2 linked regions of the Tamandua tetradactyla genome follow. The protein of the gene in region 1 interacts with the protein of each later gene in a biochemical or structural test. Links are inferred from orthologs where the notes say so. Each region holds a gene or a part of one and is shown in the gene's direction. Other genes may lie near its edges.

Region 1 (8,039 bases):
CCTTTCCTGGCCTCTGACTCCATCCCTGGCCTGGGAGCCTGGGGAAGGGGCTGATCTTGGGAGGAGCTGCAGGGGCATCACTTCTTTCTGCTGCTTCCGCCCAGAGGGCCCGGGGGCTACCCAGCCACCTTTGTGCTCTCCTGGGGGGTCTCAGCCCACTGCTGACACTTCTGTAATCCAGAGAAACACTAAATAAAGCAATATGAATTTGCCGACACTGGTCTTCTTGTGAATATTAGGAAAGGGAGAGGGCCCCTAGGAGGTAACCTGGAGCCTCGTATTGCATTTTTGCCTCGTCCCCAGGACAACTCCTGGGGGGAGTGAGTAGAAGTGACCAATAGCTGTACTATGGACGCGCTCTTTCACTAGCTGCTTACTAAAAGCCTGCTGCCCCTGGCTCACTGCTGTGGGCAGTGGGGAAGGATCCTTCATGCATGGTCCCTGCCCACAGGGTCCTCAGCTGGTCAAGCGGGATGGTGAACAGAAACAGTCCAAGAGGCACACTGATGAGAAGATGACTCCTCAGGTCAGGGTGAGGGGTGATAAACCCCACCCACACTGGCTTGGACAAAACAAGGCATTTATTAGCATTAGCAACCTAATAGTTCTAGGGAAAGCTGCGTCCAAGTGCTCAGTATTGTAGGAATGTGTGTGGAACGATCCCCTGGCTCAGCCCTCTGGTGGCTTCATTCTCAGGCAGGACCTTCCCATATGGTAGGAGCAACAGCCACCAGCAGTTCCAGGCTTTTATTCTACAATGAGCAATGGAGCCCAAAAGAGAAAGAACCCCTCTCCCAATAATTCAGACCCAAATCTCAGCTGATTCTCGGTGGCCCAACTTGGACCAGGTGCCTCCTTCCTGACCCCACCGTTGTAGGGAGAAGAGCACATTCTGGCCAGGCTTGGGTCATGTGCCCCCACCACCCACCCACCCCCAGGCAAAAAGTGACACAAATCACCCACTCAACCACAAGGACCAACAATGGGAGCAAATGACTCCCCCAAAGAAAATCAGCATTATCCCCAGAAAAAAAAGGGAATGAGATCAGCCACATCCAGAGTTCATCAGCAGATGGCTAAGAGTTTTCCTGAGGGAGGTGCATTGGGAGCAGAAGGAATGGTGTGTGCAGGGCTTCCAGGTAAGAAAAGGTTGGTTTGGGGCCAGGCTACCTGCCAGAGGAGTTTAGATTCATCACCTAGGGCAAAAGTTCTCAAGGAACGAGGTACCACGCAGTCTATGGCTATCTGCGGCTTGACTGACAATCCTGTGAATGCACCTGGATTCTGACACCTCCACCAAAAGTTAATCTATGGGGGGGGGGGGGAGTTTATCTATGGAAAATGAAAGGAACACAACTTATCCACTCTATCAGTAGTGACAGTGGCTCCAAGAAGCTGGTAGATAAGATAGGCATTGAGTTAGGTGCCATTCCCAGTTTTATAACTGCAACTACACTCCTTTCTCTAGCAAATTGGAATGTGTTTGAGAGTGACATTGCACATATTATCAGATGTCAGCTAAGGGCATTCTGTCCTTTTGAGCCATAACCCATAATGATTTGCACCCCAGCTCACATCCTGAGAGACATCCAATGCCGTCCAGGAGATATCTACAAATTCTAGGGAGCTAATTCTGGCTCTGGGTAACAGCCTCCACAGGACTCCATTCATTCATCCATTCCTTTCATTCCTCTAATATTTAATAAATGCTTACTTACTATGTGTCAGCTCTCTGTTAGGCACTTGGGATGAAACAGGAGCAAAAAAGACAAAATTTCTTTTGCTCTTGGGCATACATTCAGAGGGGAAGAGATACAATAAATAAAAGAGTAAAATGCGTAATATATTAGAAATGGTAAGTGCTAAGAAAATTAAGTAAAGAAGCGGAGGGGGGTGTTGGGTGTGCAGTTTGCAATTTTAAACAGGCTGTTCAGGGGCAAGAGTGTTCCAGGCTGAAGAAACAAGTGCAAAGCAAGGAGCAGCGTGGGGGGCTTGGTTCCATCCCCCAAAAGGCATTAGTGTAAGTAGCACACTTTCGCAAAGGACAGATGCAATGAGGGGGGTTTACACTGCAGCAAAGCAAACAATTCAAAGTTGAGTAGTTTCCAGCCTTGTTCTCAAAAGCCTTGCAGCCATGTGGCCTCTGGAAACATTTCTCTGACCTTACAAGGAAGGACCAGCCTCCTGTGTGTGTGTTTCCAGCACCCACGATTTCCCCACGCTTCTCGGAGTCTCCTCACATTTCTCCCCAGAATTTTCTCCTAATGCCTGCCTCCAGACCGTGCCTTTGCACTTTTTGAGAGTGGTCCTTGTCTCTGCAAAACTAAGGGCTACCCACTAGGGATGAGATAGCTCTCTTTTTCATAGTCCAGAATCTTTAGCAGACACTTGGAAATCTCCCTGTTTCCTTCCTGTTTCCCTGTTCCCATATGTGAGTGAGAACAGGGCAGAAGTTTATGTTCCCATCTCCCTCCCCACCCATCCCCACTTTCTCTCTCACACACACACAAACTGTCAGTTTTCCCTTTAAACAGCAATTTTTGCCTTCCTGATACAAATAAACTTTTCAGCCTTTTTTTTTTTTTTTTTTTTTTAAGGGGAAAGTAAGTATAAGTCACTCCGCTCCAGTGGGTACCATTTACCCAGTGCCCTGGAAGTGTGCAGCACTTACAACCTGCAGGACTGTAGCTGACAGCTACATCCTCTGGTCACTTCAGAGGATGGAGAGTAGGTAGGCAGATTGTTGCCCTCTGCCCTCCTCTATTTCTAAACTAAGGAGTGCCTTTTGCAGTTCAGGTTTGTGGCTTGGAGAACGGAGGACTTTGGTGTTTTCCTCTCAGATGGGGCAGCTTTTCTTTCTTTTCACCTTTCACATCTCATTCTTTTTCAGGTACCTTCCCACCTACCCCATCTCACCCACCTCCTTGCAGAGATATTCCTCAGCAAGGGTTCACTTTCTTTGTAGGGCAGATCTCAGGCTTATCAGGGGCCAGAAGAGGAGAGGAGGAGGAAGAGAGAAAGGAGGTGGGCGGGTGGGGGAACAGTGGGTTTGCTTACTTCTGGAATTAATTAGTTTTTCCAAAAGCCACTCCTATTTCTACATTATGCCCCCCACCAAATTTGTCAATTCTCTATGCTTCCAGGAAGGACCCACTTGAGTGGCTGCTTGGGGCTGGTTGCCCCTTCTGTCTCTTTGTTTGCTTTTCCAACTCAGTTATGGTTTTTGTTCATTTTTTCCCTTTTCTTCTTTAAAATAAATATATATAGTCATAACCGCGTGCCTCGAGGGGGGTGGGTGGAGGCACGGCTTTAGATCCCCGGAGGCAGTCTTCGAGACAGGTCCTGACCCAAAGACCCTGCTTTCCTGGGGAAATAAAGAGCAGGATCTTCTCATTCCCAAAGAGCTGGAATTCACACTGGGATGGCCTCTGCTGCTAGCACATGGTGACACGCTGTGAGTAAACCAGGGTCACCATGAGTCACACACAGCAGGGAAGATTTCCCTCCCTAATCCTCAAGTAAGCAGACCCAGGAGTGTGTGGAGGGGGTCAGGAAGAGTTGTGTTATTCACAGGTCATAAACCAGGTATGACAGATGTTTTTTTTTAACATAGATTTCTGTCCCTCACCCTTTCCTTACCAAGATTTCCATTCCAGAATTCTAAAAATATAGCAGTGATTGACAGCTCTGGCTCTCCTTTAGGATTTGAATCCTAGTTCCTCACTACAGCAGTTGTGTGACTTTGGACAAGTTGCTTAACCTCTCTGAGCTCCAGGATTTTCATCTGTAAAATGGAGTTAGTTGTAAAATACCTACCCATAAGGTTGTTGCTAGCATTAAATGAGATGATCCACATAAAGACATTTAGCAGGATGTCTGGCAGGTAGGATTCTGAATAAATGGTACCTGTTATTAGGGAATATTTATTGCGTGCCTACTAAGCTAGATGACACAGGCCTGTTAATGAAAATGTATAGTATGAGTAAGAGCTGTAATGGGAGAATATGAACAGTATTTGTTAATAAAGAGAGGAAGTGAATGGGGTGGAAAGAAAAGGGGAGACATTTGAGTTTGAGATTCTGTAAAGGTGGAAGGATCTTCCAGGAACAGAGTTCCGTGTAATGGTAGTTAAGATGAGGCTAAATCCAACTTTCTGCTGTGAGGTAAAACGGGAATTTTAACACTTCAAGGCTGTGTTAAAGGTTTTATGTAAGATAGTAACAGATTCAGATTTTCATTTAAAAAATTCACACTGGCAGCTACTTCCAGGCACAATGTGCAATCAGGGGCAGTAAGACTGAAGACCCTCAGCAAGGAGGGATGCTCACGGGAATACAGAGGACAGATGACCACAGCGACTGGCCTGATATCCTTTACCTTGAATGCCACCTTCCACAGACTGGATAGGGGCCCTGCTCTGTTTTCCTAGAGCCCCCATCATAGCTGTTGTCACTTCTCGTCATTTTGCCTGCTTCCTGGTTCTTCTCACTGGTCAGTGAATTTGGTAAGGGCAGGGCCTAGCCTCGATCACCTCTGCACCCGAGAGCAAGTTCAGTGTCAATAACTGCTGAATGGATCAGTGAAAACAAGAACTTTAGCCGGAAACTAGAAGAACCAGCAGAGAAAGCCAGATTTCTCAGGGAGCCTTGGGACCTGGGGCCACAGCCACCTTTTCTACCTTCCTTCTATGAGCCGCTGTCGAGAAGCCCTGAGTCTTCCAGTAACTTGAAAGCTAAAGGACCGAAGAACCCCCCCGTGGCCAATAGAACAAACACAAATCCCTGCGGACGCCTGACTTAGGCCCCGCCCCTTCCCTCCTAGACTCCGCCTCCTCACCCTCTGCAGTCCAGGTCTGAGCCAGGCGGCGACGCCCATGAGGCCGCATGCGCACTGAGCGTGCGACTTCTCCCTTGCCCTTCTCCCAATGGCGAGCTGCGGTCCCCTTCCCGGCGGCCTCCCTCGGGCAGGGAGTGGCGTCATTTCCGGTGGGGAAGGCCCGCGGCTGCCGCCGCCATTTCGGGCGCTTCTGTGAGGCTGAGACCCGAGCCGGTCCGCTGGGCGGCGGGCGTCGGGGCTGGAGGGGCGCGCGTGGCGGCGGCCCTACGTGTAGGCGCGGAGGCGGCCATGGCAGGCAACTTTGACTCGGAGGAGCGGAGTAGCTGGTACTGGGGACGGCTGAGCCGACAAGAGGCGGTGGCGCTGTTGCAGGGCCAGCGGCACGGGGTGTTCCTGGTGCGGGACTCAAGCACCAGCCCCGGGGACTATGTGCTCAGCGTCTCCGAGAACTCGCGCGTCTCCCACTACATCATCAACAGTAGCGGCCCGCGCCCGCCAGTGCCGCCGTCGCCCGCCCAGCCTCCGCCGGGTGAGGGAAGGATGGGATGGGGTCCCTGGGCGGGGGTTGAGGGCCCCGGAACTCTCCAACCTGGCCGATTGCTCCTTGCACGCTGACCCCACGCGGGTCGTGGGCAGAGGGTGGCATGACTCGTGCAGGGGGCACCCTGTTATCAAGCTCGTTCTCACCGACGAGCGGGAATATGTGGGGGAGGAGGGGCCGCTGACCGAGGCCTCTGGGTGTGCCTTGGGAGGACGGCCCAGGGGAAGGGGAACTGCTTCGGCCCCAGGGTGGGGCTAACGCCGGGCCAGGCTGCAAGGGCAGGGCCGAGCAGTGTGGGGACAAAGGACTGAGGGGGATGTTGTCACTGCGGGGGCATCACTTGGCAGCGGTGCCCAGAATGAATCCGATAATCCTACAAGTGGCTTTTGGGCTTGAAACACTTCCTGCAGTGCTAGAGAGCCGGGTTTGGCCATACTCCCCTGGTGGCCTTTGGTAGGAAGTCACCACATACTGGCCGGGAGGGTTGGAGACACCCTCAGGAAATCAGTCAGCTTTTTCCTTTCTTGGGCATGTTTCCAAAATACGTTTACCGTCCTCTTCCCTTGTGGAGGACGAAGGTGGTGAGCTAAGTGCTTAGGTGATGGAAGAAAGTCCTCTGTGGCCAGTCCAGAAAAAGTAAATGCCTGGCTGACCAAGAGATCTTAGTGGTCAAAAAACTATCCCCCTTGTAATTAAGGGATTCTCGTTTTCAAGGTGTTTAGTGGAGGAAGAATTTCTTAAGAAAATAAACCAGAAATAAGGTACTGAAAACAATCCCTTTCCAGAAAGTGAATGAAACTTCATTTTTCCTTGGACCTGAACATTGCCAGTCTTGTACTTCAGTATGTTTCTTAGCTTAGTAAATTGGGGCTGTGACCTGAGTCTTCATGAAAGCTGGTAACAGGCCCACCTGGGCAGATTCTCTGAGTTTAAATGATCTGCACTGGGTCATTCCCAAGGATTATTGGGATGTGACTTTCCTATTCATGCCATTGGAATTGTTTTGGGACTATTAAGGAGATTTATGCACATAGTACTTCAGAGCTTTGAGATACAGGGTCATTCTGAGAGTATCAGAATCTGTAACCAAAGAGTCCTAATGTCATTTCACTTTCCCCAAGTTGAAGCAATTTCCTCCTGACCAGCTGAGACTAGATCCGGGGTAGTCATACAATTAGGAGGCTTCCCAGCCAGCCTTTGTGCGGTTGTTCTTTTAAGATAGATTTAAGCATTCTGGCCAGAAATGGGGAGATGGGATAGGCAATCTTTTGTTGGTAAGATTGAAAAAAACAAAAGAGTGTGAGGTCTTTAGGTCCACAAGGTCTTTCTCAGAATGCTTGATTTCATAGTGTTATAACATGAGAGGAAATTACTGATGGAGCTTAAATTTGCCTTAAACCATATACATATTCTACTTTTAAGCCATTTGAATGGTTATCTAGGGTTTTGCATCACGTACAGTAGCACTATGGAACGTAATTCTCAACCTTTTGTTTATATATATATATATATATTTTGTTGTTTGCAAAATTAGAAATGGAAGCAGGGTGACTTGTTAGTTTGAGATTTCTCCACTCCTTGGTGTTGTGATTTTATATCTCAGCACTTACTTTGATATAGAGCTCCACCTTTTCAAAACAGTTAAGAATTCAGACCCTCAGCCCAAAAGAGAAGGTAAAGTTGCATAAGTTGGTGGATGGGATGTGGAAGGTTCATGGTTATTATGCTTCTTTCTGCCTTGTACCCCATTTCCATGCAGGACAGTTGATTCGCTGCTGTCTTTATAGAGATTACTTCATCTTTGTTCTCTCCTTCGCCTTTAACCTCTTTTTCTTTTGAAACCGTACTGAGACATTTCTTTAGTTTTAGAGAGGCTGACATTTATTGACTACTTATTCTCTGCCAGGTTTTTTTTTTTTTTAATTTTATTTTTTTAAAACACAATAGCGTACAGACATGAACATTCTTACCATATGATCATTCCATTCTTGGTATATAATCAGTAACTCGTAATATCATCACATAGTTGTATATTCATCACCATAATCATTTCTTAGAACATTTGCACCAATTCAGAAAAAAATAAAAAGAAAAAAACTCATACATGCCATACCCCTTACCCCTCCCTCTCTGACTGCTAATATTTCCACCTACCCAATATATTTTAGCCTTTGTTCTCCTGTTTTATTCTTTACCCCTTGTCACTCCCTTTCATTGATCACTAGCATTTCAATCTACTAAATTTATATTAACATTTGTTCCCCCTATTTATTCATTTTTAACCCATATGTTTTACTCATCTGTCCATACTGTAGATAAAAGGAGCATCAGACACAAGGTTTTCACAATCACACAGTCACATTGTGAAAGCTATATCATTATACAGTCATCTTCAAGAAACATGGCTACTGGAACACAGCTCTACATTTTCAGACACTTCCCTCCAGCCTCTCCAATATATCTTAACTAAAAAGGTGATACCTACTTAATGTGTAAGAATAACCTCCAGGATAACCTCTCGACTCTGTTTGAAATCTCTTAGCCATTGACACTTTGTTTTGTCTTATTTCTCTCTTCCCCCTTTTGGGTTAGAAGATTTTCTCAATCCCTTGATGCTGAGTCCCAGCTCATTCTTGGATATCTGTCCCACTTTGTCAGGAAG
Region 2 (7,730 bases), on another chromosome or scaffold:
GGATTAGTGGTTGTTATGTGTGTGGACTCCTGCAAATGGTTTCCTGGTCCTTCAACCCCTGATGAGGCACGCTGCACTTCTTGCTCTTGTGTTTAGGGCATAAGACCCTGTGTTTTCAATAAATTCCCCCCTTTTCCAAGCCATTGTTGAGGTACTTTCTCTAACTTGTGGCCAAATACTCCCTGACCTAGACCCCAACTCCCAGGATTACTGTGAGGGTTGAAAACAGTGGTGAGCAGACGCCAGCCATAGGCAGACCTCATGACGGTCAGCCTCCATTATCATTACCACCAGTATTGATGGACTTCACTTTCTCTTCTGATCTGCAGTAAAAGGTTAATGAAACAATCATCTCTGTCCTTAGAAAATGGACAGTGAGTCGGGATGCTGAGGCAGGCACGTGCAAACTGATAGCCAACAACACACGCTGAAGTGAGTCCCAGAGCCTGCAGCCTCATTTTTGCCCATTCTCTACCCTTATCTCACTCAGTTCCCATTGTCCTAATAGTTGAATATTGTCTGCAAATGCCAAGAAGAGGTCATGACCCTTTTGAGGAGAGCCTGGTCTAAAGGAGGCTCTCTGCACAGGTTTCTGGTCACCTTGCTGTTTCTTCTCTTGTGGCATCTGGGGAGTTGCTGTAGCAGTCATTTGGCTAGGTCTTTCCCAGAACATTGTGAGAAAGCGTCATAGCAGCCATCATGTATTGACTGAGCTTCTTGTCTGTGCTGGTGTTAGTGATCCAGTAGTACATGAGGCAACATGGTTCCTGCCCAGGTGGAGTATGCAGTCCCCTGGAAGAGGCAGGTACTAAACAGACAACTGCATATGAAATAAGCGAATGTGGAGGCATGTGCTCTGAAGGTGAAGGGCAGGATGTGGTAAGGTTCTCTGTGATGGCAGAGATAGATGTCTGTCATTTTTGCCACATCAGCATCTCTTCTTCTGATATTGCTTTGAGGAACCACCCTTTCCCACTCCCAGGTTGCTGATTCGGTGGCCTTTACCCTCACGGTTTCTTGCAGTAGGTACAATTCCTAGGCCTTCTTGTCTGCAGTAACTGGTTCAGGGTTAGACATGTAACTCTCAAACCAGGCTAAAGTGCATGTGCCAAGGGGCTGTTTTTTGAACTATGAGGAAAGACATACTCATTTTCCACTGGGATTGTCAAGCTGGTTGGTGACAAGCCTAGGTCTGCTGGTGCCCACTTTTGCCACCACGTGGAGAGTGGTCATCTGAGAACAGAGCCAACACAGAGGAATAATGTCATTGTTTTAAGAGTCTAGCTTTAGATGTGTTTGGACCTGACTGTATCCCTGGTTTCCTAGTTATGATATTCAACACATTTCCTTTTTTGCTATAACCAAGCTGATCTGGGTTTTCTGACAGTGAAATCAAGGGTCCTGATCAACAGGGAACAGTCTCTCTGGGGAGAGCTGGGGAAGGACTCCTCGGTAGGAGTGACAGTCAAACAGAGAACAGAAGACTAGGAATTAGCTAAATGAAGAGGAGGGGAGAGAACATTCTAGGCAGAAGGAGCAGCATGTGAGAAGGCCCCAAAGAAGGAAGTAAATGGCTTTAGGAATTTGTTTGCTTCATTACCCGGTGTGTGTTCTGTTATAGCTATAAACATGTTTGATGAATAACCTTTATTAAATAAATGCCATGACCCTTATTTACAACAATATCCGTTTGAAAACTGCTCTATCATTTACAAAATCCCTTATCATTTGACATGTCATAATTTATTAAATATATTCAACAATTTAATTTATTCAAGAAACCCTGACTGGCAAGTAGCTAGAGTAATATCAGATAAAATAGATTTTAAATGTATGGCACCATAAGAGACAAGATTTTCAAATGTTATTGCAAAAAACATTTGTATCTTTACATATTCCTGAAATCAAAAACTTGAAAATGTTCAGTAACATAGGTCACTATAGCAAAGCTGATGTTTCTAATAACTGCCTACTTAATATTTTGAGAATGGATAGGTTTTTTCTTTTTTTTGTTTTATTTGTATACAGTTCTGATAGCTAATCAAATGATATTTAAGTTAGCATTTAATATTTAGAATTCAAGAAACTCTAATGTCTGTATCTCCAGATTTTTCCCTGTTTTGCCTTAATTTTAAATTGGTTTATGAAATTTACTGTATAAACATAGGCTATATAATGGTTATATTTTATTTAATATGCCTATGGATAAGCTAACCAAGATATCCATTTTTGGTGGTTAAGATTTTCATACATTAATTATAAAAAGTTTGTATTTTTATGTTTTCCTGAAATCTAAAACTTGAAAATGTTCAGTAACATAGGTCATTACTGTAGCAAGGTTGATATTTGTAACAACTTTTTACTTGATATTTTGAGAATGTTCACAGCTTTGAAAGCTGATCAAATGATATTTAAGTTAGCATTTAATATTTAGAATTTGGGGAACTCTGATATCTGTATTTATAGGTATAGGATAAGATGCTGGACCCAGAATCTTCTTTTACAGTAATAATTTTGAATGTTAATGGACTAAACTCACTAATTAAAAGACACAGATTGACTGAATGGATTAGATAATATGATCTATCCATATGCAATTCACAAGAGATTTATCTTAGACCAAAGGATTCTAACAGATTGAAAGTGAAAAGATGGAAATAGATGTTCTATGTAAGCTGTAACCAGAAGAAAGCACAAGTAGCTATCGTAATATTAGATAAAATAGATATTAAATGTTATGACAGCATAAGAGATAAGATTTCCATATGTTCATTGTAAAAACATTTGTATCTTTATATTTTCTTGAAAACCAAATGCTTAAGAATGTTCAGTAACAAAGGTCATTACTATAGCAGACTTGATGATTCTAATATCTTTCTATTGGTGTTTTGAGAATGTCTATAGTTTTAATAGCTAATCAAATGGTACTTAAGTTAGTGTTTAATATTTAGGATTCAAGAAATGCTAATATCTGTATCTGCAGATTTTCTTCCTGTTCACCTTAATTTTAAATTGGTTATGAAACTTACTGTACAAATACAGGCTTTACAATGATTATATTTTACCAAAAATGCCAAAAAATAAAATGTACCCTTCAGTTGCAAAAAAAAAAGTATAAGGACACAGAGCCAAACCACTTTGGAAATAAAGTATTGAAAATAATGCAAAAAAAAAAAAAAGAACCCCTGACTGGGCCTCATAATCATTCATTCTAATTTCCTACTTTGCACCTAAGTTTTCAGATTTAAAACATTAGTCCGTCTCAGCTCAGAAGCCTAGAAGGGTTAGGGGCAGCACTGCAAGTGGTTGGGGTGGTGGGCCTGTGGCCGAGGCCCTGTTTTGCCTGGTTATGAAGCTGCTGATAGGGTGAAGCAGTGCCACTCTGATTCAGAGCAGCCATTCATCAGCTCAAAAAGAGAAATGAATTTGTCAATCTTTGGCTTTGCTTTTGATCTCTTGAGTGCTAGGAGCTGACCACCTGAACTGACTACTCTGGAAATTTGGCTGCAATCTATGGTCAACTCTAAGTGATGGAATTAGTGATGCATCTGAGTGTGAGGGAGACGTGAGACATGGAATTGCTTGCAGTATCAACCATTCTTGCCTAATCCCTGCACCTCCTCAAATCTTGTCCCATCACCACCTTTTGAAACTGTTAATTCACCTTTATCAAGGAATTCTGGAGGGAAAATTAGTTGAGTTGCTTTTTGTTAATTTGTTTTCCATCTTGGGCCAAAAACAGCAAGCAAACAGGAGGCAGGGGATTTTCCCATGTTCGAACATCCCTTGTGTTATTAAAATGTATTGTTACTCAAAACTTGCATTATATGATTTAACTTTGACTAGTCACCTAAGATCTGAAGTATTTGGAGGGAAGAAGCAATTGTACATATTTTGTAGGACCTACAGCACCTAACAGCGCCTAGCCCTATGTAGGTTCTTTGAGTCTTAAATGAATGACTTTTAATGAACTCATCATCATGCTAAAAAGCAATGTTTGAGCTCCTGTGGTCCCCATCCGGAGGTCCAGTGAGCAGGGCAAGCTGGGGTCACTATGTTCCTGATGTGGTTGGACTCAGGCCTTGATCTGGAGACTTCAGCATCTGGGAAAGCCGAACCTCGAGTCGGGAGGGATCAGGCCTAAGCCCGCGACTAGTTCCTGGGGGTAGGGGATACTAAGTCCCGCGTGGAAAGGAGTGAGTCCAGGTTCCAGCAGCGGTTCTGGGTCTGCACGCAGCGCACAGCTCCACTGGGGGAGGGGGCAGTCCCAGACCTTGGCGTGAAGACTCCGGGCCGGCAGGGGGCGATGTGTCTCGGGTGGGAGGGTCAGATCAGTCTCCGGGCCGGCAGAGGGCGTCGGGCTCGTTCCGGTGCGGCGCCGGGGCGGGTGCCCAGTAGGTGGCGCTGTGGCCGCGGGCGAGGCCCGGCGAGCGGGCGGCGGCGCGGCGCTGGGGCCGGGCTCGCAGGCCAGGGAAAAGCGGCGGCGGCGGCGGCGGCGGCGGCGGCGGCTGCAGCTGAGGCGCGAGAGGAGGCGGAGCGGCGGCGGCCCCGGGGGTGCAGGAGCGCGCGATCGCCGAGCTCACAGGCCGTGGCCGCGCGGAACCCGCCATGCCGGCGCGGATCTGAGGCGCGGCGAGCGGCGGCCGTGCCGGCCTGTCGTCCCGCAGCGGCCCGGCCCGGGCCCAATGAGCGGCGGCCTCGGCCTCCGGCGCAGCCCGGAAATGTCTGGCAAGATCGAGAAAGCAGGTGAGGCGGCGGCGCAGAGTCGGCGGCGGCGCTGGGCGCCCGGGCTCTGGTCGTCGCCGTGCCGGAGCGGGGACCCAGCTCAGTTTGTCCCGCGCCGCGGGCCCAGCCCGAGGCCGAGGCGGATCCGAACTGCCCGGCGGCCCGCGTGGGCCCCGCGGCGCCGCCGCCTCGCTCTCCACCGGAGCCGAATTCGGATTTTTACCGGGTTTCGCGTGGTCCCTGTTTTTGCCCTGGGGAGCAGAAGTGAAACTACCGCCGAGGCCTAATTGGGGCGTTTTTCAACTTCACATTCAAAGGCCATTTTTAGCCGGTTGGCTGGTTCCTGCTCTGCTCTATTTTCAGTGTGCACAGACCGCCGCGGGGTAACGGTGCCCGGAAGGGTGAGCGCGAGGGTGGACACAACTGGCGTGACTTCTTTTTTAGTAGCATTTTGAAGGACGGTGGAGGTGGGAGGTTCTCCCTGCAGCCGGGGTCTCTTTTATGTAAGCTGCTTTGCTCTCCTAATGAACTTCCAGAAAAATGGCTTAAACCTAGAGAAGGGGGAAGAGAAACCCCAGCCGCGTGTTTAAGTGGCCCTGAAGCTCTGTGCTCTGCTCTGGGGTTGTCTTTTAGAAGGTGAATAGAGCCGAGCAATAAAATGTGTCCTTTCTAATGACCCTCGAGTTTAAATTTAACTTAAAGTATCCACTTCGGTTGCTTCAAAGTGAACAGGAAGGATGTGTTTTGGCATTTCTTCGGGCTCAGTCAAATTTTCCTCTGGTATCGAGTTTAAGCTTTGCGAGCAGGGCGTGTAGGGCAGCCGGTTGGATTTGGACAGCTTGTAAATCTTGGTGAAAACCCCATCTCTTTGTGTGTTCCTAGAAATCTTGAGGAGTTGCTTTCTGATTACCATTTTGCCTACACTGGGAATAGACTCTCCAAAGATTCAATTACTGTTGTGCATATGGGGCCCAGGGCTTAATTAGCCCTGAGATATACCTTGTGAAGTGAGGTCTTGGGTCTAAGGTAGGCATATGACCCAGGGCTTCTGACTGGGAACAGTGCTGGTTGTCAATACAGGTACCAGGTTAGATTGGAATTCAGATTGGAATCTGAATTATGGGAGGCAGCCTTTTAAGAGGCTGTCCAGAAAGGTTGCTAGCAGTGATTTTGGAAGTTGCTTATGTTTCCCAGATTGAAGAGAGATACTTTTCTGGCATGTACCTCTGGAGTGGATGCAGAACATAGTGTAACCCTTGCAGTCTGTGGTTTAAGCACAGAAAAGGAAGTAGCCTTTATCTAGGGTTTACTGTACATCTTCTGGCTCTGTGTCAGGTGGCCTTACATGTATTGCTTATTAAATCTTTGTAGATCCTCTGTGAGAGGCTCAGAAAGGTTAAAGGAGTTTCTGGAGATCACAGAATAAAAGGGCAATAGGGTTGGCTTTTATGCCTGGCTCCCTGGCACAAAGCTTGGTTGCCTTCTGCAAGGATGGGCAGTTTCAGGTGCAGTTTCTTGAGTGCTTTTTCTCACTGTTCTTCAGACCCAGGGGGCCCAGTGACCATGAGTCGTTTTCCTGCTGACATGCCATTCCAGAGATATCTCGGGTTGATCTGTACACTGTTCTCAGGAACTCCTTGCATACTCTCTGAGAACTGTACTGTTGAGGAAGTTAGATAATTAGCTTTAAATATAACGGGATTTTCTTTGATTATAAGAATAATATTGTCCATTGTCAAAAACTTGAAAATCATGGACAAGTAAAACAAACTAAGTGAAAAGCACCTACACCCTACAAGCTGCGTTCTGCAGCTCAGACTCTTACTGAATGAGATGAATCTTCATTTGAGTTTTCTATTACTGGAGGTGGGAGAACTAAGACATATTTTATTATTATTATTTCAGCATAGGCTATCCTTAGGCCTTCTGTGGGCACTGCTAGGTGCTGGAGTAGATGCAAAATCAGTATGTCCCTGCCTTCAGGGACGTTTGTCTGAGGGTGGGGGAGCTGGACCTAGGCTACTAGGCAGCAGAAGCTGTGCCACAGGTCAGGCCCTGTGGGCACAAGTGAGAGAGGGGTCTGTCAGCTGAGGAAGTTGGGAAGGCTCTGAAATGGACAATATTTGTGCTAAGCTTTAGAGAGGACAGGGTTTCCCTGGGTGGAGGTGGAGATGGGGAGAAAAGGGCAGAGTGGAAGGGGCTGACCAGAGTCTGTGGAAAGCACCAGTGGAAGATGGGTTTGGTGAGAGGTGGCTAAGCAAGAAAGTTCTCAGAGGTTGGCAAGACTAGGGTTGGCACCTCACTTAGGTACTAGAGATCATAGATGTGGCATTAGCTTAGAGGTTAAAAGCGTCCTTTTTTGCACAAGGTATTTTGCTAGAATCCATACACAATTGTCAAGGAAGAGTTAACTTTCTGGTGTTTTTTGTTGATCATTATAGGTGGGCTTTACTTTGCATTTCAAAGAGATTTTCCCGAGGGATTTCTGCTGGGGTTTTCTAAGTGATTCTGATTTTAAGTCATTCAAAGGAAAGGTCCTAAACTGAAATGACTAGCAAGTGGACAATCTCTAGTAAATTGCAGAGCTTGGCCCTCAATAAACAATTGTTGTTATTGGAATTTTGCTATTTTCTTTTAACTTTAAGCAACAGAAATGTTGCTGAAAATGTGTTCATAATTTCTTCTTTCTAATAATAGAAGGATCAGTTATTTTTACTTCTCAGGGTTTAGGGAATTCAAGCTTTTTTTTTTTCGGAGTGAAAAGAAAAGCTTCTTTTTTACGTGGTTTGCAGCACTGAGATTCTTGCCCAGTTCTCCATTCTACCTTTTTTGCTGCCTTTCCTGATATCTCCTTGCTGTGCAGCATTCTCTTTAACCACTGGAGGAGATTTTTTTAGTCTGTCATTGCTACTCTTCAATATATTAAGAGTACATTAATTATTCATTCAGCAATGCCAGGCTGTGAGTGGCGCCTGTTGGAGGGATCATACATACTACCCTCCCCA

What was found. The genes of interacting proteins can lie anywhere in the genome.
Region 2: the proteins of CRK (region 1) and RAPGEF1 form a complex in vitro, tested with the Homo sapiens proteins (4 studies listed by BioGRID, with this or other methods). The link is inferred for Tamandua tetradactyla from reciprocal best matches to the Homo sapiens genes CRK and RAPGEF1.

Annotation. Positions count from the first base shown.
Region 1 is NC_135332.1:55,230,112-55,238,150, reverse strand, and holds the start of CRK (adapter molecule crk), read left to right. Parts: upstream 1-4,982; 5' UTR 4,983-5,124; coding exon 5,125-5,365; intron 5,366-8,039. UniProt on the Homo sapiens protein: Involved in cell branching and adhesion mediated by BCAR1-CRK-RAPGEF1 signaling and activation of RAP1.
Region 2 is NC_135328.1:54,750,656-54,758,385, reverse strand, and holds the start of RAPGEF1 (rap guanine nucleotide exchange factor 1), read left to right. Parts: upstream 1-4,655; 5' UTR 4,656-4,685; coding exon 4,686-4,746; intron 4,747-7,730. UniProt on the Homo sapiens protein: Guanine nucleotide-releasing protein that binds to SH3 domain of CRK and GRB2/ASH. Transduces signals from CRK to activate RAS. Involved in cell branching and adhesion mediated by BCAR1-CRK-RAPGEF1 signaling and activation of RAP1.